Linked DNA regions of Drosophila melanogaster. The protein of the gene in region 1 interacts with the protein of each later gene in a pairwise test. Each region holds a gene or a part of one and is shown in the gene's direction. Other genes may lie near its edges.

Region 1 (4,740 bases):
GCGTAACAATGCATAAAATGAAGGCTAAAGTAAAATTAAATGAGCATGTTGGATTATCGGTTTATGTTTCAAATAAAATATAAAATATCCACAATCATGTCTCAAGGTATAACTACATTTATGTGAACTCGACTTTTAACGTATTTTAAAGCATGCTTATAAGTAATATTGTATAACACATTTCCATGGAGATATATAATTGTATAGATGCATCAAAGGCGTTCGCAACAATCGGATTTGTTTCTAGGTCTCATCGTCTTGCAGCTCAAGGAATTGTGTGCAGATGTCTCGACTGCACTCGCCTTTATTGTTAAATAGGAATTTATAATAGTGGCCGTCTGCACAAATGGCTGTATAAGAGAACAAATGTCGATTAAAGAAATCTCAGGGAAGGATCCACTCCATTTCCAACTTACCCACAACCGAATTAGGATCGGCGCCAAAGGCACATACACATCGAGGTCCCTGGGGTATTGAAAACTTGACAAAACTCCACTGGCTCGAGAAATACTTGGGTATTATGGGCAGCGAGGATTCACGGGGCTTGTTGTCCTCCAGGTTGAAGACGTGTATGGTGCCATGATCGGAGGCGACGACCACCATTGTGGACTGGTGGTTAAAGTTGATGCAGAATATGTTGGCGTGGTTGCTTCCGCGCCTCAGCTCTGATACCTTCTTGCCACTTTCCGTATCGAAGATACGGATGAGGGTGCCCTTTTCCCCGGCGGTGGCTAGTCGCGTGCCTTGCAGATTAAGGGCAATACAGCTGATACCAGCCTCGTGGGCGATCACCTCAAGCGGCGCCCGCTCTGTGTTGGCCAGATCAACAATTTGAACGTGGCCAGTTCGACGGCCGGGGAATGCGAGGAGGCTCTTATTGCTGTGCGGGCACAGCACACACAGCCCGTTGGGATTTGAGCTGGTCTCAAAGACGTGCAGCTGCTGTGGTTGCTGAGTGAAGGTGAACACCTTAATCACGCCCTCCAACACGACCACGATGCGATCCCGACGCAGTCGTACCGCCCGCACGGGCTGATTGAAGTCCAGCGATATGGCCGGGGACTTCTTCAGGTCATCCCACACGATCACCTTGTTGGGCGGGTACAGCGGCCGGATGCCGCCTCCAACCAGGGCTAAGTAATTGCAACGAAACAGCATCTCCACATGGCTGAGACCACCTGAATCGGAATTGTAGACAATGGAATTTGTTTTAGGCCGTGGGAGTCTCCCGCACTCTTTTTTTGACAATCATACCCTCTGGAAAGTATTGGCGCTCCTTCTCCTTCAGCGGATCACAGTTGTAGACCCGGAATCCGGTGTCCGTCGCGCACGCGAAGCATCCTGCAACGCAAAAGGCCAGTTATATTATACCGATAAGGTGTATCGTGTATATGTAAATAACACACATCCGCACATATGTACGTACCTTGGTCTTGATTGAAGGCTGCGTAGAGCAGCCCGTTTCCATATGGGTTTTGCTCTGTGAGGTTCATTGCACTCTCCGGGGATGCTGGAAGCCCGGGCTCTGGTGATTTTCAATACAGTTGCTGGGCAGGCAGGAAAACAATTGCTCGGACGGCGGATGATTGTGTTTTTTCGTATAAAAACAATGACACAGTGTTGAGTATCGTCGAAAAGTGGCCGGGCGGTGAATCGATAACTTTCAATGAGGAAAGACGATCCGCTAAATCGGGATATTTTTGGGTTTAAGAACTTCTTGCTATGAGTTTTTGAGTAGTTACGTAACACAAAGAAACATTATAAATAATCTGCAATGCTGTTTTGGATAAGGTTTTTTTTAAAGCTAAAGATCTAGCTATTATCGGTAGTATCTAGATAATTAGATACTGCCAGCATCACTACCACCCACAATCCTTCACTATCGACCGACGGGTATAATTTTGCAACACTGTCCAAGATGCTCCACCTCCAATTTCACAGAATAACAAAAAGGAAAATGGTCGCTTTGTGGAACGGATTCCTGTAAAAATTGAATATATGCTAGCGCACCATGGAGTTCAGTGCGGATCTGAATGGCTTCAATGAGGACTCCATCGAACCCTGCCGGACTTGCGGAATTTACTTTACCATGGGAATGGACATGGACCAGGCGATTGTGAAGCCCATTTTCGGTTCGGATGACGCCGCCGTCGCAGATATGGCGGAGATTCTCGAGCAAATGAATGATTGGAACATAAAGGTTGGTAGTAGTGGAATCGTACTATGTGTACCTAACTTATGTCCCAAAGGTTGCGAGGGAAGACGGACGACCGCAGTACATGTGCATCGCTTGCATTGCCGAGTTTCACCGGCTGATTAAATTCAAGCGCAGCTGTGTGGAGACACAGGAGCAGTTCGGCGAGCTCGAGTACCAGCGCGAACATAATGGCATCGTTATTAAACGGGAAATTGAGCCGGAGGAAGAGAAATTCTGCGGATTTATATATCTGGATACCGACGAGGAGGATAACAGCGACGAGGACGGTAGTAGACGCGTGTGTGCCGTCTTCGACATACCGCATGTGCCCATTAAGGAGGAACACATGGCCCGAGTGCCATTACAGAACAGTGACAAGTTTCAGCCACCCGAACCCAAAAATTTTGCGTCGCCAGTCGACTCCAGATTCGACATGATAGACAACGATGCGTTAACGTCCGGCATGTTAGGACCGTCTATTGAGGATCTCTCCGGGACGGTCGACGATGGCACCGAAGATGAGGAGGAGGAGGAGGAGGAGATAGTCAGATTTACATACGATGATGACAACGATGCGGCAGCCCCGCTTCCGCCCCCGCTTTACTCGCCGGTTGTGTGTTGTAAGCTATGCTTTTACGAATCCCCCGACCAGGATGCGCATATGGAGCACATGCGCCGCACCCATCTCCTCAAGGACTGGGAATGCCATATTTGCGGCAAAAAGTTCACAAATGCCCAAGAATCGCGCATCAAGTTTCACATCAAGTATCACAAGCTACAGCGGCACGTTAAGTGTCCCGTTTGCGGGTTCATCTGCAGCTCCAAGGAGACTCTCAAGGAGCACAAGCAGGCAGTGCACGTACGCACAAAGTGCACATACTGTGGAAAAAGTGAGTTCAATATTCTCACTTATAAAACTAATTTATCGGATTAATCACATTTACCTTTGCAGCTGTGAAAAACGCCACTCTACACGCACATTTGAAAAAGCACTTAGAAGGTCAGTAAGAAGAATTACAACGGTTTTATTTGTTTATAACTTTACACTTAATGCCCAGAGGGTGAAGCCGAACTTGCCCAGCAACTGAAAAAATTGGAGCAGCTTCCAGTTAACCTTCAATCTCAACATTTATCTTCACTGGAAAGCAGTGTCGCCGAAGTCACCACGGCTTCTGAGGGCTCAAATATTCCTGGGGAATCCACTGTTCCTGAAGATTCTAATGTAACCGAAAACTCCAGTGTTCCTTCAATAGAGACTTCCAATCATGCGGACATTCAATGTCCAATGGGCCCACCTGCAAACGGAGAAGTTCCTGATGTAGCAGATGTAGCTTCACCGTCAACCGAGCCAACTGAAAGTGTCACTAAGTGCTCATATTGCAGCGACACATTCGAGAAGGCCCAGCAGCTGCAGGCTCATGTGCTGGCCACTCACACACAGACAAGAAAGAGGCGTCGCTCTTCAGACAACCAGTCATTAGTGAGAAAGACCACGCAGGAAATACCTACGTCGCCCATTGCAAAGATAACCAAGAAGCAAACCATCGAGTCCAAAGAAAGAGTCGTCCTAGAGTCTTCTTCTCAATTAGATAGCACTGCCCAGCAGGAGAGCAGGACTTCAGCGACCTCTAATGACAGCTCTCCTGTCCAACAGGTGCCAGAAAAAGCGTACATCTCGTGCTACATTTGCGGCAGATCCTTTGACTTAAAAATTAAGCTTAACAGACATCTTAAGCAGCATAAGGGTTAGTATCGTTTCTAGCGTATAGCCATTATTCCATATTAATTTCATTTTTCTAAAAATGTAAGAGTATTGTGCATCTTATCATTTTCCACTGGCCTGCCAAATGCAAACGTTGAAATTTGTTATTTAAATTTTCTTATTTTTATATAATTGGTTGGCGAAGTACTTACATTCGAATTTTAATGTTTAATAAAATAGAAACCATTTTGCATTTGCCTTTTATCCATACAGAGTTGGAAAAATGCAAAGCACATTGGTTTTTGTATTGCAAATAAACATGGCCCTTCTGGTTTCATCTGAGTTTTATTGGGTCTGTATATATATATATATATATTATTTTTTATAAACTGTTCCATAAAATTGGTTGCTGGATGGGACATCTTATCGTTGTCCATTATATTTACTTAGTACAAAGCAATATTTGCGATCTTTCTGCTTACATAGATAAATTACAAGTGTTGTTTAAACAAAATCGAAGAAAGTGTAACCGGTAAGGATATTCAACGTGGTTACCAAGCCTCTCCGCTCCTGAGCCTCCTAGTTGCCACTCCCTGTGGCCGTCTTGAGAACCGTAGCCGGTATTAGTTTTGTAGTCAGCGTTTTTGCTCCTGTTTCGCCGGCTGCCGTGGTCACAGAGATTTTTCCTCCTACCGCTGCCCCACTTGCCGATGCTGCAGCCATGGGTATCACTTTTAAGCTGGACAGTGGCTTTAGGTTCATGCCCTGCAGTCCCGGTGAGAAGAAGAGCTGTCCGCCGTTGCCTTGCACGGCGAAAACGAGATTGTTGCTAGGCGTTGCC
Region 2 (7,817 bases), on another chromosome or scaffold:
ATCGATGTGGAGTTCCACGACGCTAGTATTCACCACGCTCTACACATTAGTAACTACAATCAGCACAATTTGGCCAGTGTGAGCAGTGGAGCTTTGGCATTGGCCTCCAACGAATCCAGCAAGTTAGTAGTCATTGCTCTGGCCGCCGCCGGAAACAAAGAGTGGTCACTCAGCCTCCCGGATTGCGAGAGTGCAGAGGCTGTTGTGGCCACGCGATTTCTAGTGGCTGTGGCCACCAGCTCCAGTTTTCTGCGTATCTTCACCGTGATGGGTACACAGCGTGAGGTGCTAACCATACCAGGACCAATGGTGGCTATTGCTGGACACGAGCACAGCCTAATGGTTGTTTACCACAGTTCCGCGCCCAGTCAGACGCAGCAGCATCTCGCCGCGATGTTGGTGAACATAAATGGATTGAGTTTGCGACAAGAATATCTGCCCGTTCCGCTGACTCCAGGCCGGCAGCTCACCTGGTTTGGGTACAGCGACACCGGATCGCCGAGTATTGCCGACAACATGGGTCTGCTGCAGTTGTATCGCCGGAGCAGCAACGCCTGGTTCCCCATCTGCGACACCATGAAGCAAAGCACCAGTGTGTCGCACAACTTCTTTGTGGTCGCTGTATCCGAGAAACGTCAGATAGTCCAGGCGGTCCTGTGCCGCGGTACCTCCTATCCCATGACCAATCCGCGTCCCATGCTCCAGGAACTGCGTATGCAGATCCCGCTCTGCGACGTCGAAGTGGAAAAGTCCGAGCTGGAGGATGCACTGCTGCGGTCCAGTCTGATGCAAATGGATGGGGCAGAGAAGATGCAAAAGGAGACGGCCATCAAGCTGTTTGCATTGGCCTGCAGCAGCGAGTGCGAGACGCGAGCTAGGGAATTGATCGAATCGATTGCCTGCACTGATCTGCTTCAACTGGCCGTGAAATACGCCACGAAACGTGGACGCATCCACCTGTCCGACCGTCTGTGCGAACTGCTACCTCAATTGGAGGCGGTCCAGGAGGCACGCAAGCAGCAGACTTTGTTGGGTGCCAGCGGCATTGCGGCCACCATTGTTCTGCCAATGACTCCCACATCGGCCTCACAAAGCGGCCCAAAACCCAAGGCCATCGAGCTGAGCTCGGCCAAACGGGGCACCCTGAAGAGATTGGTCAATTCACCCAATATGTTTAAAGCAGCAGCAGCATCGGCAGCATCCCGGCCCTCGACTCCGGATATCACACCCTCTCCGCTGGACACCCAGGAAAACATATTCGGCGAATCGGAATCCGAGGTTCCCATGGGTAAAGCCACCGATCACCGGTCCCCTTTGAATTCGGTTAATCCCTTTGCTATGAAGCGCAAACTGGGCGACACTGGAGTCATCTTTGGATCCGAAAAGCTGAAGCTGGCAAAGAAATAGTCTGTTTGTAGATTGATAAGTAGGTTTAAGATAAATATATTATATAAATAATGTGTAACGTTTATCCCATTCTGTGAGCTACATGTAAAATAACAAATTTTTATTTGAGCTTTTTATGGAACAGAATTGTTAAGGATTAATTTGCTTATTTAAATTTAAAGAATAAAATATACTTTTATTTATATTAAAATGTATATTCTTTAAAAAGCGGAGGGTACAAGTTTATTTAAAATATGATCAATATATTTTTAAATATTTTAAAATTCTACAAATTAAACATTCTGGTCTCCAAAGAATACCGTTGGTATTTTTATCTTTGGAATTAAACCAACCAAATAGTGTGACCAAACTTTGTAAATGACATTAATCGATCGAAACGATCATTTTAGGCTGGATTTTCCACGACTTTCAAGTCAAAGTTATGTGTTCGTTTAATTCTATTTTGTAAATAAGTGTTACACGCTCAAATTCCAACATAAAATTACACACTCATACACATAGGAAAAAACACAATATAAAGGTTAGAAATAATAAGCAAAAAAGGTGCTAGATATATCAAAAAAATAAATATATATATTTTTTAAATAACAAACTAAATTGACAGTTACATACACGTATGTAAGTATTGCGGCAGCGAGTGCTTCCTTTTGCGTTGTTTACGAAATTCTCGCCACTGGAAGAAAGCTAAAGAACTCCGTAATGAATTTCCAGTTCCAGCGAACTGATCACCGCTATTCAGAAGGCTCTCTGCTGCAGACGCAAACACACACACAAGCAGGCAAACACACAGGGACATCGTTAAAATCTAAAGATGGAGAGACTCTATTTCCAATTTAATGTTGAATTAGTTTTCGTTGAAGCCATTTTTTAACCCAACAACTTTTTTAAGAAATCCCCGTCTGGGTAACCCGTGCATATAAAACCCAACGCTCGCGCATCACTCTCTTCATTTGTTACCTGAACGTTACGCCGTGCATTTCGATCGTCAGCTGAATAGTACATACTATATCATATATAATATTTCAACGTGTGTGTGTGTCTGCGTCTTTGCGTTTTGTTCGCGTCAAATAAGTAACTTAATTGCGATTATTCGCAACAACAATTATCGATCCTACCCTTTTTGTTTGAGTGAGTGTATTACAATAACAAAAACATAGAAAAAAACAACAGGAAAAAATCAGTACAAAATAAAGAACATCAAGCCAAAATGACAAAAAATAAAAAGAACATAATCAACAATAACAATGGCAACGCAACCCCGCCGGACTTCCCAACACCGCCACCGACGCCACCGATCAATGCCGGTATCAAACCGCCCGGCACCTACGCCAATGGAATGCCTCGCAAGCCGACGGTTCCGTGGGGTAAGCTATATACTATGTATATACTATATATGATCCATAACATCGGATCACTTTTCACGGGCACAGAGCGCGAGTTGATGGGCTCGTTTTTGCTGGAGATGGCCAGACTCCAGGTGATAAGCGCCCAAACGGAGTGGTACGTGGACAAGGCCAAAATGCGAAAACTATTCGAGGTGCACTTGAACGCCCTGCCCAACAGTAGCGAGATTCGTCAGAAGCTCAGCAGTCAGGGAGCTACGAATGTAAGTTGAATCACATTGATAATGCCTTATTGCTATCCTATTTCCTGTACAGTGAGCACTGCCAAATGAGCTTCGGTCGGGGTTGCCTTAGAAAACTAATAAATTGCATTTTGTTGGTCCGATATGTACATGTGTAGGTCATTCTTTAAAATATGAAATATAATATATTAGGATAAGTATAATCGGATACAAAATGTAAACATGCCTTAAGTTGCTCAATATTCTCGACATTGCATTGCAGACCACTCGATTTCGCTAGTCAAAGCGCGATAAGACTGATTTCGTACTGTATGTATCTATATATGTATGTATGTGGCTTTCCTTTGTCTCGCTCCAGTCCAAACATTTTCCCCGTATTATCAGAGCAACTTTACAACTATTTGCACATACATACGATCGACGTCGTGTGCGATCGCGATTTGCTCGCTTGAGTCTATGAGTCATCTGGGTTCTGGGTTTTGGGTTTCCCCTGCCGGATTATTCTTTCTTTTACACTCAGATGCGCGGAATCTTTGCTGGTACAGCAGCAATCTGATCTAAACAAACGTAATCATTTGTTTATAAATTATAAACATTAACAAATGTACATGCATATTTTGTATATGACTTTAAGTGGATTTCAACTCAACTCAATGCTGAGAGTTCAGTTTAAAAACAGAAATATTATATTGTGTCAAGATCGTATATCTATAGCTCTATTGTTGTGACATACCGCACTTATAGCGCATTGTAATTATTTATGCCGTTAAAATGAAGTACATAGTAACAAGTTTACATCTCCTGCATATGGGTTTTCCATTTCAAAGGGATCGCAACTCGTTTGGGAAAACAGCTTTAGGAAAAGAACACAAAAATTAGAAAAGGAAAATCTGTCATTGTGTATTTCTCTTTGGTGGTCGTATGGTGAAATTCGATATGTGGAGTCAAGTGATTCCCCGTTTTCATTGGTATTTCAATGCCCATACATGCATATGTGCATACATACAGTGCCTATTGCGCCAGTGCAATTTTCTGACCGTTGAGATATAACAATCCTTTTCGGCGATTGATATAAACTATAACATTCGAAATTAAATGCAACATTTTCATTAGATTGGCTCCCTGCTGCATAGGACGAACTTTCTAATCAACACGCCTCGTGGAAACCCCAACTATCGCATCAAAAACTTCTCCTTGATGGACTTTCGCAAGGAGAAGTTCAATTTGCTGGACGAACAGCACCGATTGCGGGGAATCGCCTCCACGACCGATGTGCCCGGAGGAGCACCTGCTGAGGGCAACAAACCGATAATCGAAGGTAGTCTATCCATAATTAAGAAAAAAAATATTCTCATTATGCGTGAGAGTTTTTTTGTTGGCAGAATACAAACTTGACACAGACGTAAAGCCTACGCTTCTAAAATTTCAAAAGAGGCTGCTGCTGCAGTCAGATAAAGATTTCGAACTCCAATCCCTGGGCTGCTATATCTGCCAGGAGAACTTCGAGAAAATTGAGAAGTATGAGGAGCATGTGGAGTACCATGGCGACGAGTCTGATTTTCAGTCCCTCAAAAAGATGAAGAAATAGTAAGTAAATTGAATTATATCTCTACATATGTGAAAAAGGTTAATGTACAATGAGTGCCTCCTTTCCGCAGTCCAACGCCCATTGTGTCCCTGTCCTATCAGACCTGCGTGGACAGCCACTACTTTGGATTCACCTTAAAGACCTTCCGCAAGGATCTGGTGGTGGACAAGTTCATCATAGTGCAGTTACGACAGTTTTACTACGTGTATGGTGCACAAATGCCTCTGCCGGTGAATGGGAGCGGTGAACTTGTGTTCTTCGTGGACTCTCACGTCTTCATGATCCTTCGGGAGCAGCCCATCGTTATCGGGTTCACCATTCAGGGAGAGAAATATGTGGAGCAGCATCACTTCATGCGCACGGAGGCATTGCCCAAGGCTAGCTTCAACATCAATCCCTACCGGCTGTCTAGCAAGGAGACCTTCAAGAGCAAGGGTCTTCCGCCAGCCAATCCACCCATTCAGGTGTTGAGTGCTCTAAAGCACGAGGATGCCCAGATGTGTTTGGCTAGCTTTGATAATCAATATCAGAACTACTGCGAGCGGGGCAGAGAGATTACCCAGGAAAATCTGACCGGGACACTGCGCACATTGCTCCAGGTGGAGGACATCGAACGATTGCAGCATTATCTCTCGCTCAAACAATCAGAAATGGAGCTGCATCAGTTCGGGCGGGAGCTTTCCGTGAAAATGCAAATGGGTACCACCAGTATGAGCGTGGAGGATATCTTATCGCCTGGCGACGATGTGCTAATCATAAACGAGAAGGGCAACCCGAAATCGGCTGTACGCAAGATGTTGGAAAACAACAACAACGTGCTCGAGTTGGCACTCAAGGATTTTGACTCCATCTTGCGGTGGGCTCGCAATGTTGACGGAATGGTCGGATCTCTGGACAAGCAGCCACGAGTCTACTTCGCCCGCATCCTTGGCGTCTCAACGCAGCGGGTTAACATTACTTGTGAACGCCAGTTACCGGACAACACCACCTACACCCTGATCTTCCGTCCATTGCGAGCAGTGATGCGTTATCAGTACCGAGCACTTCAGCAGCTGTCGTTCACCAGGCACAGTGATGTTCAGCGGATCCTGTTTCCCGGTGAAATTCCCAATACACCTTTGGCCAGTGGAGTACTTCAGCTAAACAACAAGTTAATTTCGACCAATCCGGAGCAAATGCAAGCGGTTCGACAGATAGCGTTGAGCCCACGTCTAAAAGCTCCCTACATCGTGTTCGGACCACCGGGAACGGGTAAGACCTCGACCATCGTCGAGGCCATCTACCAATTGTACATAAATCGACCCGAAACGCACATCCTAGTGCTGGCTGGCTCAAATACGGCTTGTGACGAGGTGGCACTGCGACTTTTAAGGGCAATCGCCAAAGCACCACAGAGCCAGCCACGACCGCTAACCCGTATCTTTAGCGCCAATTGCGATCGGCGCATTGACAATATCGACGATTTGCTTCTGGAGTACTCGAACATGTACACTGTGCACTTTTATCCGGCCGTGCAAGCGGTGCACCAATATCGGATCGTGATTTGCACACTCAGTTTAGCTGGAAAGCTGTCTACCGGTGGCTTCGCCGCGAACAATGTGTATACGCATGTGTTTGTGGACGAAGCAGCCGCTTCCACGGAGGCGGAGGTTTTGATGGGCATCACCTGCACCCTATCGCCGACGTTGAATTTGATTCTATCCGGCGACCACAAACAACTGGGACCAGTGCTCCAATCGCAGAGGGCGAACGAATGGGGTCTTGGACTGACCCTCTTCGAGCGACTGCTGCAGAGGAAGTGCTACCAAGTGGAAGAGGATGGCAGCTATAACGCATCGGTGCAGACGCGACTCATCCGCAATTTTCGTTCACATCCGGAGATAGTATCGCTCTACAACAATATGTACTACGAGGGACATCTTCGGACTGAGGCACCCATGGGTGAGCGCTTGTAGTTACCATATAGGATCCAAAAATTATAATTCGTATTCGTATTTCAGAAATTGTTTGTCGCTTCCACAACTGGTTTTACCTGCCCAATGCGACTTTTCCCATCATGTTTCATTCCGTTTTTGGCACAACGATGAACACGAAGAGCTCTGTGAGGTCTGTGCATAAAATGGTGTACAAAACCAAATCTGATATTAATACATGGGATTTCAATTTTGCAGCCTGTGCAATAATAAAGAGATTGATGTTGTCATGGATTACGTGAAGGATCTGATGTATTTCGGCCTCAATGGCGAGAAGTTATTGCAGACTGATATCGGTATCATATCGCCGTACAAGAACCAGTACCAACGTATCCAAGAGCAGCTAAACATGCGAAACTGGTCTCAAATAGATTGCGGTTCTGTCGAATTATTCCAGGGCAAGGAGAAGCATGTGATAATCGTTTCATTTGTGCGCTCCTTTACTCCCAAACTTGGATTCTTGAACAATGAACGGGTATGTATTTGTTTATAAAATAATAGAACTATTCATGAAAAAAAAAAAACATTATTCCATTAAATTAATTATATTGCACACCCGTTTAGCGGTTGAACGTTCTGCTTTCGCGGCCGATTTCGCTGCTTATTCTCATCGGAAATCCACGAACTCTAAGCCAAAACAGTGACTTCCAACATATTATCGAAATGTGCCGCAATCGTAAGACCTTGGTTGGGGAGCAATACCTTAACGAAGATTTTATTACGAATAAAAAGACTGGGGCAAACAACGTCAATAAAGGAGGAGCAGCTGGGGATCAGCCTGCATCCGGGCTAAGGCAACCGCTCAAGCGAAGTAAGTAACGCCAGCAATTTAAGTGTCGCCAGACAAAACAAGCCGATTACAATCCCATGTCGTGGATGTCGGCTCTTTTTGCATGATAATAGCTTTTAATTTGCCGATTGCTTGTTTCTCTGGCGTGATCATCCTTAAATTATATTATCTAACCTCTAACCCGCACCTTATCCCAAACAGAGAACCATGCAAAGAATCCAGTCCAGGACGCCAAGATCTTCTACAGCAAGAATGAGCTGCTTAACCTCGGGAATGAGTGTCAGCGGAAAAAATCTGAGCTCGAAACCATATTCGACGAGTTGCCGAAGGTTCCAAGGTCTGTGGACCACGATTTGGATGAAGTTCGTTCGATAGAGGCCCAACTGAAAGATTTTCAATTGGAAACCAAACAGGACGCCGCAGGAACATCGATTTTAGTTACTAATGCTCCAGTTACTAATGCTGCTGCGCCAT
Region 3 (7,542 bases), on another chromosome or scaffold:
GGGCCTCCAATCCTCCAAACCACCAACCTCCACCCCATTTCCGCCCACCAATTTTCGAGACTCCCGGACCGCGGGCTATTAAGCAACTGTGGGCTGTGCGTTACAATAACCATGTTTTAAAGCCCCGCGGGGAAATGGTGATGCTATTTTTCTGACTTATCGCAGGATTATGAATCGTGGGACATTTGCCTTGACTGTGGCCATTGTGATTTGCATTTGCACGCAACATTTGTTAAATTTCTATCGTCATGTATGTCATTTCACTTAATTATGCCATTTACTTTGCATACAAAGCTGCCATAAGTTTGCTACCAAATTCTTGGACAAATTTTTCAGGAAAAGGGCGAGGCATTTTTCCAGCACAGAACAATTTGTCACAATTATTGCACACGAAATGACAGGCAGATGAAAACCAAGCAGCTGGAAAACAAGCTCCGGCTCCGGAAAAGTCGACTCCAAGTAGGCGAGCCGCAACTTTGACAAGTTAAATGTGTTTTGGGCCTGCACAATGATGCAGCAAATGCTCGCTCGGAATATTCAGGAGCAGGAGTAGGAAAAGGAGGAGTACGAGTGGGAGCAGGACGAGCCAGCCACCTGCATGGGCAAACGTGTCCGAAATTTTGTCATATTTTTTGGTTAATTTCAAAAATGCAAATCATCGATGTCCTGGCCGACATCGGAGCACGTCCTGTCGCCTTTTTTGACAAATTTGCCAGCACTGCTCGTGCGGCAATGTGCTCGTTACAAACTTTCTGTGGTGTAGAATATCATGGATCCGGTGGGCTTTGCACTTTGCCATCCTGCAAAACCCGTGCCAGCCGATGTCGATCGTTATGTTTTCCATGGACATGGAGGAGGCCGCTCATTTGTTTGCAGCTTATTCGCATAGTTGATGTTGGTTTGCTGCATGGTTCAGAGGGCCATGGCTTCACTGGGCCATGTTATGCAAAGTTAGCATTTCCATTTCCTGCCTTTGTTTGCGCATCCCTTGGTTAGTTTAGGCCACAGTTGTCCTTCCTACGCAACTAAAAATTTGATTATTTTTACTAACTAATTAGGACTGTGCGGGCTAAGCAGTTTATTTACCTTTCATTAAAGTTCTGAGTGCCTTTTGTGTTGTATTGATTAAGATGCTGCTTCTTTAAACAAGATAGTTACATATTTAAACTATCTTTTTTTATTTCATATACAATGATTTTGTTAGTTTTTGAGTACTTAAGATTATTAGGGTTTCCTCAAGCTGCTCTTAGTTACATTTTCATAGTTTTTAAATTGTTAAAAAGTTGATTGGTTCTTGAAACCTCACATTGGAAAACAATTTCGATGACCAATCGCGTTCGATTGTCTTTAACCATCGTCTTTAACCATCTGACATTAAGAGTCTGAAGCTTTTGAAAAAAGCTCGGACCGGTTTCTCTCCAAACTGCGCATGCGCAGCCATCTAACTGCAGTTCCAATGGAGCAGAGCGAAAGCAGACAAGGTGATGGAGACTTCTGGGCGTTAAAACTCATTGCCCGAGCGATCCGATCGCACAGTTGAGAGCGAGACGTAGACGCGTGCGCACGTACGAGTTTGGTGAGTTCCGATTTCTGCGAGTGTAGTACGATGAATGGTGAATCAAGTGAATGTGGAATGCGGAATGCTGCTCTTGAATGCCGTTTAATGTGCCGCCGGAAAGCATATCAATTTAAAATATTTAAATAATAATCTATCTGTTCGTGCAGGTTTATGTCGGCTAACGAAATGGCGCTTGTGAAAATCTGCATATTTGCTTTGGCTTTGGCCGTGGGTAAGTGTGGAAAAAGCTCTTAATTGCATTTGCCAATTAATGATACGTCAATACCATGGCGTGCAAAATGTCCCTGTGCAAACTCTATTTGAATAATGTGCCGTGACTTTAATGCTCTTCTGCTTTCGGCGAAAACAATCGCCTCTAATTGTTGGCCGCACCCAAACAAACGGGAACAAACCCACAGGCCAACCTAACTACAAACAACGCAACAAACAAACGAACGAACAAATAAACGAACCAACCAGGATAATAGCGACAAACAACCATATGCAAATGCAGAATGCACAGTGCTGCAGCAACTAAGCTGAAAAATATTGTTGTTAACATTATTGGCGCCCATGTTTATGCATATCTGCAGTGTTTGCAATCCTGGCCCTCTTTTCATCATGTCAACTGTTGTCCGATGATTCGATGGCATAGAACACGTGTAAATGCCACATGTAGCATATATGGCATATAGCACTTGCTGTTGTTGTTGCTGCCAATTTGCATGACTTTTGTTTTTCGGTTTTCATACCCTCATACGCTACTCATTGAGTAAAAAGGGTATACCAGATTCGATGCTCTCGGGAAATATAAAAGTTATGTTAAGTTATACAGAATACAGTGGAGACTTACGGGAGCGATTATGTTACTACCGCTAGGTGGAGCTCGTGTGAGCTCGAACGCTAGGTATCTGATAGTCGAGATACTCACCTATAGCGTTCTCTCGTGATTGGATCGGAATTACAGCTGCAAACCCATTGGCATTCCAATTGCAATTGGAAATTCGGCAATTTAATTTGCTGGCAAATTTTCTGCTCATTTATTGTGTGAAAGCTCATTAAAAATTTGTTTGTCTCCAATGTGCGGGGGCATTAAAAATGCACATTGTTAACTCGCCGGCATAAAAACATACATATTAAACAAATTGATAGGCGAGCAACTGTTGCACTCGGGGGGCGTAAGCTGAATTTGGTAATTATATTAAAATGTCTATGGCAAAAATATGGCAACAGCTCATAATTAAATGTATTGCAATTCGGTGCCGCCGGGGTTGAAAGCAAATTAAATTGCCAGTTAATTGAGGAAAAACTCACCGCGTTGAGACAAAGGAAAAGTTTTAATTTGATGGTAAACATGTTTGTACGAAAAGTTTATAATGTGTGTGTTTGCCTATCGAGACGAACACCTTTTTACCCCCTATTTTATAAAAATCTCTTACATCTAATTTAACAAACCGGTCGGTTCTATTGTCAATCTCGCATCAGTTCAGTGAATGACATGAAAAAGTGCTTACAATCTGTTTATTTTTAATCTATTTAATGTTCATTGAACCTAACACGCTGCCTGCACGCACTTTTCCAAGATGACAGCCACGACACCCACGACGTGTGTGACTGGAATCGAAAATCCAAAGATTCAAAGCTCCCAAAAAAAAACCGTATTGTAGCCACGACTCACTCCTCCGTCTGCTTTGCAATCGGCAGTCAATTAATCTAGTCTAACCGGACTGGGAATCGAGTCAAACGGTCCAGGACCGGGTTGAACCGGGTCTGTTGACAACGGTTGACTCCAACTCCAATTCCAACACCAATTCCAATTCCAATTCCTACTGCGACTGCAAACTCCATGGCAAACTTGTTGACAGACTGTCAGAGCGACGCGACGGCCCCCAACCAAGTCGACCAAGTTGACGAGTCGAAAAAAGCCAGGCCCAAACCGCATAGGCCACGCTTCGCTTGACTCGTTCGCCGGGCTGCGAAATAAAAAAAAAAAAAACGGAGGGTCATAAAAATGAAAGGAAAATACCTATTCAGGAGCAGGTCGTAAGGGAAATGCCCTTGGGGGAAAAGCCATTTCAGGCAATTATTAAAGAATGGCTGGGAAAAAGTGAATATTTGAAAGGATAAATATTATTCATTGTTTCATATCGAACAAATATTGTGGCACATTTTATTCGAAACTAAATTTAGTCTGCTTTGCTTTGCTATTTAAAGGCTGCAAGTGGTCCATAGTTTAAATTTAAGCCATTGAATAGTTTGAATGTTCATTTAGTTGAAATTTAACGCAACTAACCGAATCAGCTAACAATAATGTCTGTTAAAATCTACAATTATTTAATTAATTAGGACTTCGATTTTCATTTAAAGTGCTAAAATTAAGCCGAATAGCCAGCTCGAAAAAAAAGTTTTACAATAATGCAATTATGCATTTGGTTTGGTTTAACTTTAGTCGGTGAAAAAACGATGCTTTCAATTTGATAGCTCTCGAATAGGTGTGAATTTATAAAATTAAAAATCAATTAATAATATTAGAGGCATGTTCATACAGTTGTTTATGCAATTTCTTTGTTTTGAGAGTGTCTTTCATTGAACTCCTCCTGCGCAAGAGTATTTGCCAACTGAACTATGAAGCTTTCGTGACTTTTTCTTTTCCAGCTTCTTGTTTGGGTTGGGTATATATATTTTCTTTTTTTTGGTTTTTCACCAGATCCCGGTTCGTGTACGAAACATGTTTCAATGACAAGCGACAGCTGCAACACCCAACACTTGCAGCAGCAGCAGCAGCAGCAACTTGGTGTTGTTGGCTTAAATGTTGGCCGACACTTCACGCACTAATTGCTGTGTGGAATTGTTTCTTTATTAACGTTTAATCGAATGTCAGCCGAGCGACGTCAGCATCAGCAACTTGCTGGCGGCATTGTTGATGTTCACTGCGGCTGCCAAACGAAAATTGAAATCGTCTTTTCTTGTTTCTCTTGTATCGCTTGGCTTTTTACGTATCTACATATATAAAGTATATATATGTATATATATATTTTTTTTGCAATTTTGCTCGGTCTGATTGAAGTGGTTTACCTTGAGGAGAGCTCCACCATGTTAACTGGATGCATTTGCTGCATGTCGCATATCTTGAAAAATTTCTTGCAACTTGCAGGAAATGCTAATTGATACTGAGTTTTCAAGGCTGTGCTTTGGCATCAGCTGCTCGGCGGCTTAGATCAGCTGTTTGTGGATCCAAAACCGGGCTTTGTAATACCCGAGAGACTTTCACTTTTAAGGTCGCTCCAATCCAGTGGCCTGTGTCGCAATCGCAAAGCGACAACTCATATACATATCGGTTGCTATTTGTTGAGTTGCCGCAAACGGGTTTTCACGCAAACATAGTGGAAACGTTGGGCAAAAAACAAAAGGCAAAAACGTGCAAGATACACTTGGAAAAAAAATGCTGAGAAGTTATTACAATCACTTTAGAGTAGGTAAATTGCAGGAACCATGGATCAGTGGTTTGGGAATTTCTAATCCTAATCTAATCTTACAATATCCTAGTCATGAAATCAAAATATATCTTGAGTTTCAAAAGTTTACCGCCATTACATTGCTTAATATGCGAAAGCAATCTAAAAATCAATTACTCTTTCTAAAACAATCAACAGAGTAGCATTGTCAAAAGCTTCAACTAGATTAGATCCTGCAAATAAATTCACAAGCTTAGCAAAGTGTTTGCACTTGTGACAAATGAACATGAGAAATGTTGTTAAAATTCACACTCGATTAGGCGCATTTTGTTTAATAGATTAGCTTAGCATTTTATTGCCGAATGGTATAAGAATAATTGTGCGAAACTGTGGGGCTTTGCTGCAATTTAATAACGAAACTATCGAATTAAATGTAGAAAAAGGTTAAACACAGTTTAAAGTTTGATTTATATTTAAGTTGATAACAGCAATGTGTGCTATTTCATAAACTGGCCATTGCAGAGAGTTTCCATCAGCAAAGTAGATTAAAACTGCAAGCAAGGACATTTTGTGTGTGTGTGTGTTATTTATGTATGGACTGAGTTAACATGTGTATATCTCAACTATCTTCTGGTCTGCAGGTCTGACCGCAACCAAGGCGCAGGAGTCGAGAGGCGGTTTCCGTGGCAGTAACAGCCAGTTTCGCGTGGGTCCTGGCCATCCGCCCTCGCAGCGCCACCTGCCGCCCCGAAACCGTGATCCCGTCCAGGAGGCATCGGTGGTGCCAAAGAGCAAACAGACGGCGGCGGAGAAGGAGTACGAGCCCACCGAGGAGTGCCCGGAGCCCAATGGCTTCTATCCGGACAGCAAGCAGTGCGACAAGTACTACGCCTGCCTGTAAGTGACCAAAAGGAGTAGACACACCCGGCCACGGGGCGTATGAGTAATGGCCGTTGCTTAATGCCACATTGACCACATTTGCAGGGATGGTGTGCCCACGGAGCGACTGTGCGCCGATGGCATGGTCTTCAATGACTACTCACCCATCGAGGAGAAGTGCGATCTGCCCTACAACATTGACTGCATGAAGCGGAGCAAGCTACGTGAGTATAAGTCCTTAATTTGCAAGAACCGCTTTACGTATGCACCGCACAAATCCCAAGACCCCACCTATATATATATATATAGTATACATATATATGCTCCTCCATCTTCTGGGCCAAGAATCGGGCAATAAACGCGCTTCGTGCTCGCACTTATTTGCTCGTTACTTCTTGGCTGCGCTTTTTGTTAACTTATTTATTATGCAAACGGCATGCGCAGCGGTTAACCCAAATTGTTGTCGTCAATAGGTCTTTGGTCTTGGCGGTGCTTTGTTTTCATTTTTCGCCTCCTGAGTAGACTCAGTTTTATTCGTGATTTTATTATTTCCCCAACGCCAGAGTCGCGCCACCAAAAAATTTTAAGCCCAATGCCATGGCAATTGGCTTCCCGCGGTTTTAAACTTGCCACGAATTTGGTCTGCCACGTGTGTGTGTGTGGGAGTAGAGCATCCTTCAAACTTCTCGACAAAGGACTTTTATTAAAGTTCTCACGTTGAGAGTTTCTTGCACTAGCGCTAGTTCAAGTGGATTTAAGAAAATTTCTTATTCACTTAAAAAGTCGCACACATTTTGTGTGACCATTTTTAATATGAAATATTGCTGCACGTTTTAGTTTTTAAATAAATTATTTGCCACCCATCAAGGCAATTAGTACACATTGTGCAGGCCCATTAGCAATTTCAATTACCTTTGTCTCCTGTTGACATACATACATACATACATATAACGTTGCCATGGCATATATGCATATAGTTCGCAAAGCATACAGCACCTGAATAAATGTGTGTCTAGTACATTGTGCTGGCGCAGTAATGTATTTACGGATGTGCAAAAAGGGTTTTACGAGCATACAGATAGATAGATACCTTTTGCGAGGGAAACTCAAGGATGCACAGAGGGAATATTCCATTTGTAATTTCCCTATTGTTCAATCGCAGAAACACCTCAGCCATCGCTTCACTGTCCCCGGAAGAATGGATACTTTGGCCACGAGAAGCCAGGCATCTGCGATAAGTTCTACTTTTGCGTGGATGGTCAGTTCAATATGATTACCTGCCCGGCTGGACTGGTCTTCAATCCCAAGACGGGCATATGTGGCTGGCCTGACCAAGTGGGCGTCACTGGCTGCAAGTCGGAGGATGTCTTCGACTTTGAGTGCCCCAAGGTGAACGAGAGCATCGCAGTGACACATCCCCGCTACGCCGATCCCAACGATTGCCAGTTCTTCTACGTCTGCGTCAACGGAGATCTGCCCAGGCGAAACGGATGCAAACTGGGCCAGGTCTTCGACGAGGAGAAGGAGACCTGCGACTGGGCACGCAAGGTGCCAGATTGGTAAGCTATAGTTATCCCTAATATAAAGTACTATTGGGAATTTTATTCTTGGATTCTAATAACTACATCCCATTTCAGTGCCGACTGGTAC
Region 4 (3,950 bases), on another chromosome or scaffold:
GCACTCACGCACCCATTTTTCAAAAAATGAGTCACCACGCTCAGATAAGACCACCTGAAGTAAAATAGAATTCATTAAAATTGCAGCGTAATAACAGGCGGGTTTACGAACATCGGATCCATAGGTCTGCACAATGCTTGTCAACATTAGGAAGGAAACATCAAACAGAGTGGACCGGATGACGCATAGCTTGCCCAGGTCGCCCGGCACCGGCTTGGAGTTCTCATTGCACTGGATCAGACGCGATACGAATGTCTTGAGGCGTCCCTCGACGGTAGCCACTGAAAGAATCAACTCGAAGCTGTTGCCCACCGGCACTTGGCAAAGGACATTAACCATGTCCTGGACCTTGTTGGTGCACAGCGTTTTTAGTACTCCGGAAAGCGGAACCTCTGCGCGCTTGATGAAGTTTATATTGGAGGGTGTCTGTTGGCCATTGTCGCATTTTTTGAGTAATTGAGAGGCGGCTTCCCTGAAAGAGTTCGTTTTAAATTATATAATTAAGATGGGTGTACAAAATGCATGATTTCTCGACTAACCTTTGACTGGCGAACTTCTTTACGTGGACATCATTGACTAGTTGTTGCTTGGTCCAGTCATTCAAAAGGAACTCGATCATATTGCATGAGCACTTAGTATCCATGAAGTCTAGCAGCAGATTGTCCTCGATGAGCAATTCCAAAGCCTCCACCAACTCGGGTATGTAATCGGCCGGTGGTGGTTGCTCCCCGGGAATCCGTTGCAGGGCGTGCAATTGCTTAATGATGTGCGGCATTTTAAAGAACATAAAGGCACCCCACATAGTGTCAGGACTTGTATCCGCAACATTGCTCAGCGTGAGGAATCCAGCACGGATGATTTCGTAGAAGAGCCGTGTATTGGAGTATTTCTTTAATCGTTGCAGCATCTGCAACTCAGCCACGTAGTAGCTGGTGTCCTTGCACGGATTGAGAAGCACTTCCACCGCCAGTAAGGGTTGCACGCAGCACGAGATCTTCTCGAGTGTTGACGGCGGATTAAGTGGTTGCATTTCAAGATGCTTGGCTTCTATAAAGGCCAACTGCTGCAATTGCTGCTCCACTTGTGGTGCATTTAGCGTAAAGTTTGAGTTCGTCAACGATCCCTTGATGGTAGCGTACTTATCCCGAATCCGTCCACATATTTCGAGCTCTTCGTGACAGCCCACGTACAGCATAGACAGCAGGAACTGCTGCTGGCTAAGCCGATCTATCACCACGCAGGTCTGGTCCAGCATGTATGATTGCTCAGCACTAATCTCACCATACAGTTCATAGTGCTGCACAGTTCTGGCGAAGATTTGAAGCAGCCAGTACACCAAGTGGACGACGGAACTCGGTAAAACCGCTTCCTCAGATTTTATTCTGGAAATAGAAATGAACAATTATTTTTACTCCTGCTTTTTAACGACTTATAAAACTAAAAGGACTTACCGGCAGGTAACGCCATCCACGATGCTGGCCAGGAATTCAAGGAGCGCTGTAATGCAATAAACGCGCTCTAATTTGTCATATTTGGCAATGCACCGAATAACAGCAGCGTGAGAAACGAGATGGGCGCACAGTGAATGCTTCAGGTAGTTAAGAACCAACTGAAAAGCATAGATTACAATTTAGAAAACAATCTAAATACTCAGATCAACTACTCACCGGATTAGCCGTGGAACCAATGAGTGCCTGCTGCATCAGACAGTCAGCCAGATTGTATACATCTCCACTGACTCCTCTCGGCAGCACCTGAAATAGTAATCAAGGGAAAGACAATAATGAAACATTTTCTTTTCCTGTCAAACTTTAACACAATATCTGGGTCACAACCCCATAAAATAAACAGAAACAGAACCACTTAAAAATCTAGTTAGGATTTCCACTTATATAGTTAGCACACATAGTTGCATATTTCGTTACGCGATAAAAAATGTTTCGTTTAAAATTATTTCGCAGTCCTGGAGACGTATTAAGCACTTTAATTAGCGGAGCTGCAACGGATTGCTGCAGGAAGACGTCACATTGTTTGGAGTTGGATCGCGCTCCCGCTGTCGCTGCCTGCTGGATCTGTATGCGGATGATCAGTCAATATCAGTTCAGGACCACGAAACCAGCCTACTATCCAGATCGCCAGCGGGAGGCGAAGCGAACGTCAGCGGGAGCCACGCCTCAACAGGTGTCATCTCCGGCTGTTAAGTACCCGCAAAGCCGAGGCATGCCCAAGGACTACTACTACAAAGTGTTAGGCGTCAACAGGCACGCCACCATCCAGCAAATCAGATCGGCTTTCTATGCGCTGGCCAAGCGCTATCATCCCGACTCGACGCACTCGGAACAAAAGCTGAAGCACTTCCAGGAGCTGTCCAACGCCTACAACATCCTAACCGACGAGACGAAGCGCTTGGAGTACGATCAGCTGGGCGGGATTAAGGATGAGCGCGCTTTTCTTGAACAGGCGGGCAATCCCCTAAATGTGGGCCTCGAGGAGGCCAAGAAGTTCGATTCGGATAAGACGACAAATGATGGTAAGCAGACGGATTTTAGATACATCAAACACCATTTCACTTTTCACTATATCACGATATGAACACGATCCTTGAATCGCCTTCTAGAGATCAACAAACTGAAGAGCAACGAGTTCGATCTGCCACTTGACTTCCTTGAGGCGACAGTGGGATGCAAGAAGCGGATAGAGCTGCGCTACTTGCGGAAATGCGAGACCTGCAAGGGCAAGTCACAATTGATGGCGCATCGGGATGTGGGCAAGGAACCCTGTCGGCGATGCAATGGAACTGGAAAGGTCATGACCAAAACGCCAACCTTCTCATCGGTGAACACATGCACGCAGTGCAAGGGCAAGCGATTCACAAATCGCAACGACTGCGAAACATGTTCGAATCGCGGCTTCGTGGTGTCCAATGTGGATGTGATGGTATCGGTGCCTTCCGGATCCCGGGACGGTGATGTGGTGAACATTATAAATCCGGAAACGAAGCAGCAGGTCACCTACCGCTTGTCGGTGCCGTCTAGCGACTATTTCCGACGCGTTGGCAATGACATTCTAACCGACAAGCACCTAAACATCTCGGAGGCCATTCTGGGCGGATCCTTTCAGATACGGGGTCTGTACGAAAGCGTGGAGCTGCGTGTGGAGCCGGGCACCCAATCCCACACCCAGGTGGTGCTCAATGGCAAGGGGGTGCGCTCCAGGGAGGGCGTGGGCAACCACATCGTCACGCTGAAGGTGCGTATACCCCGGAATCTCTCCGTAAAGCAACGCCAACTGGTTTTGGCACTGTCCCAGGCAGAGGATCCGGTTTTCGAGCCCAAGACTAAGAGCACGGAGGCGGGCAATTTGAGTCACTAAAATTCTCAATGTACCGGCCTCATTGCGTTTACAATATATTGGTAAACACGAACATTGATTGTTTGGTGTGTTGATTTGCTTGGGTTGCCTTGCCTTTTTTATGTTGATGCCCCACTGGGAGTCCGTCCAGCGCTCGCGCCACGCCACATAGATGAGTTGGAGGATCTTGTTGTTCTCCTTCATCTCTCGCGTCCGTGGAAGTAATATAACTTTTACTTTTCTCGTATTTCACGCAATTTATTTTATTTAAACCTAATATATTTTTTAGCAGCGCTCAGTGTGACCGAGGTATCTTTTATTAATCATACCAAAAGAGTACCATAATTTTCCCATCCTACAGTGTTGAAAAACACACAATCTTAAAATTTGTCGCCAATTTTAAATATTTTGAAAATTTTGTTTTTGCAACGAGGAATTTAGCCAAATAAAGGAAATAATATTAAAATATATTTTAAGACACCGAAAAGGCACCCACAAACAAATTTTAATTCAAATAATTTATTGAATACAATAAAGTAGCGTATGAGTTTCATTTGTAAACTGTTTTCATTTTAAACATTATGTTCTAAAATATTTGA

The links.
Region 2: the proteins of E(var)3-9 (region 1) and CG6701 interact in a two-hybrid assay, tested with the Drosophila melanogaster proteins (one large-scale study listed by BioGRID).
Region 3: the proteins of E(var)3-9 (region 1) and obst-B interact in a two-hybrid assay, tested with the Drosophila melanogaster proteins (one large-scale study listed by BioGRID).
Region 4: the proteins of E(var)3-9 (region 1) and CG7387 interact in a two-hybrid assay, tested with the Drosophila melanogaster proteins (one large-scale study listed by BioGRID).

Annotation. Positions count from the first base shown.
Region 1 is NT_033777.3:8,990,137-8,994,876, reverse strand, and holds E(var)3-9 (enhancer of variegation 3-9), read left to right. Parts: upstream 1-1,927; 5' UTR 1,928-2,011; coding exon 2,012-2,200; intron 2,201-2,249; coding exon 2,250-3,087; intron 3,088-3,149; coding exon 3,150-3,197; intron 3,198-3,255; coding exon 3,256-3,947; 3' UTR 3,948-4,232; downstream 4,233-4,740. Other genes in the region: CG11975 (uncharacterized protein), read right to left, coding at 244-350, 417-1,178, 1,255-1,341, 1,427-1,493; CG11970 (uncharacterized protein), read right to left, coding at 4,479-4,740.
Region 2 is NT_033778.4:13,974,138-13,981,954, reverse strand, and holds the start of CG6701 (uncharacterized protein), read left to right. Parts: upstream 1-1,789; 5' UTR 1,790-1,927; intron 1,928-2,011; exon of another isoform or gene 2,012-2,536; 5' UTR 2,537-2,614; coding exon 2,615-2,771; intron 2,772-2,837; coding exon 2,838-3,013; intron 3,014-4,105; coding exon 4,106-4,310; intron 4,311-4,374; coding exon 4,375-4,579; intron 4,580-4,650; coding exon 4,651-6,521; intron 6,522-6,580; coding exon 6,581-6,686; intron 6,687-6,751; coding exon 6,752-7,028; intron 7,029-7,117; coding exon 7,118-7,364; intron 7,365-7,544; coding exon 7,545-7,817. Other genes in the region: Ctf4 (chromosome transmission fidelity 4), read left to right, coding at 1-1,407.
Region 3 is NT_033779.5:10,031,164-10,038,705, forward strand, and holds the start of obst-B (obstructor-B), read left to right. Parts: upstream 1-1,526; 5' UTR 1,527-1,576; intron 1,577-1,725; 5' UTR 1,726-1,729; coding exon 1,730-1,790; intron 1,791-5,654; coding exon 5,655-5,910; intron 5,911-5,997; coding exon 5,998-6,116; intron 6,117-7,054; coding exon 7,055-7,451; intron 7,452-7,529; coding exon 7,530-7,542.
Region 4 is NT_037436.4:8,190,994-8,194,943, reverse strand, and holds CG7387 (uncharacterized protein), read left to right. Parts: upstream 1-1,827; 5' UTR 1,828-1,935; coding exon 1,936-2,530; intron 2,531-2,617; coding exon 2,618-3,372; 3' UTR 3,373-3,422; downstream 3,423-3,950. Other genes in the region: MED24 (mediator complex subunit 24), read right to left, coding at 1-54, 112-472, 540-1,382, 1,452-1,609, 1,668-1,754, 3,466-3,555.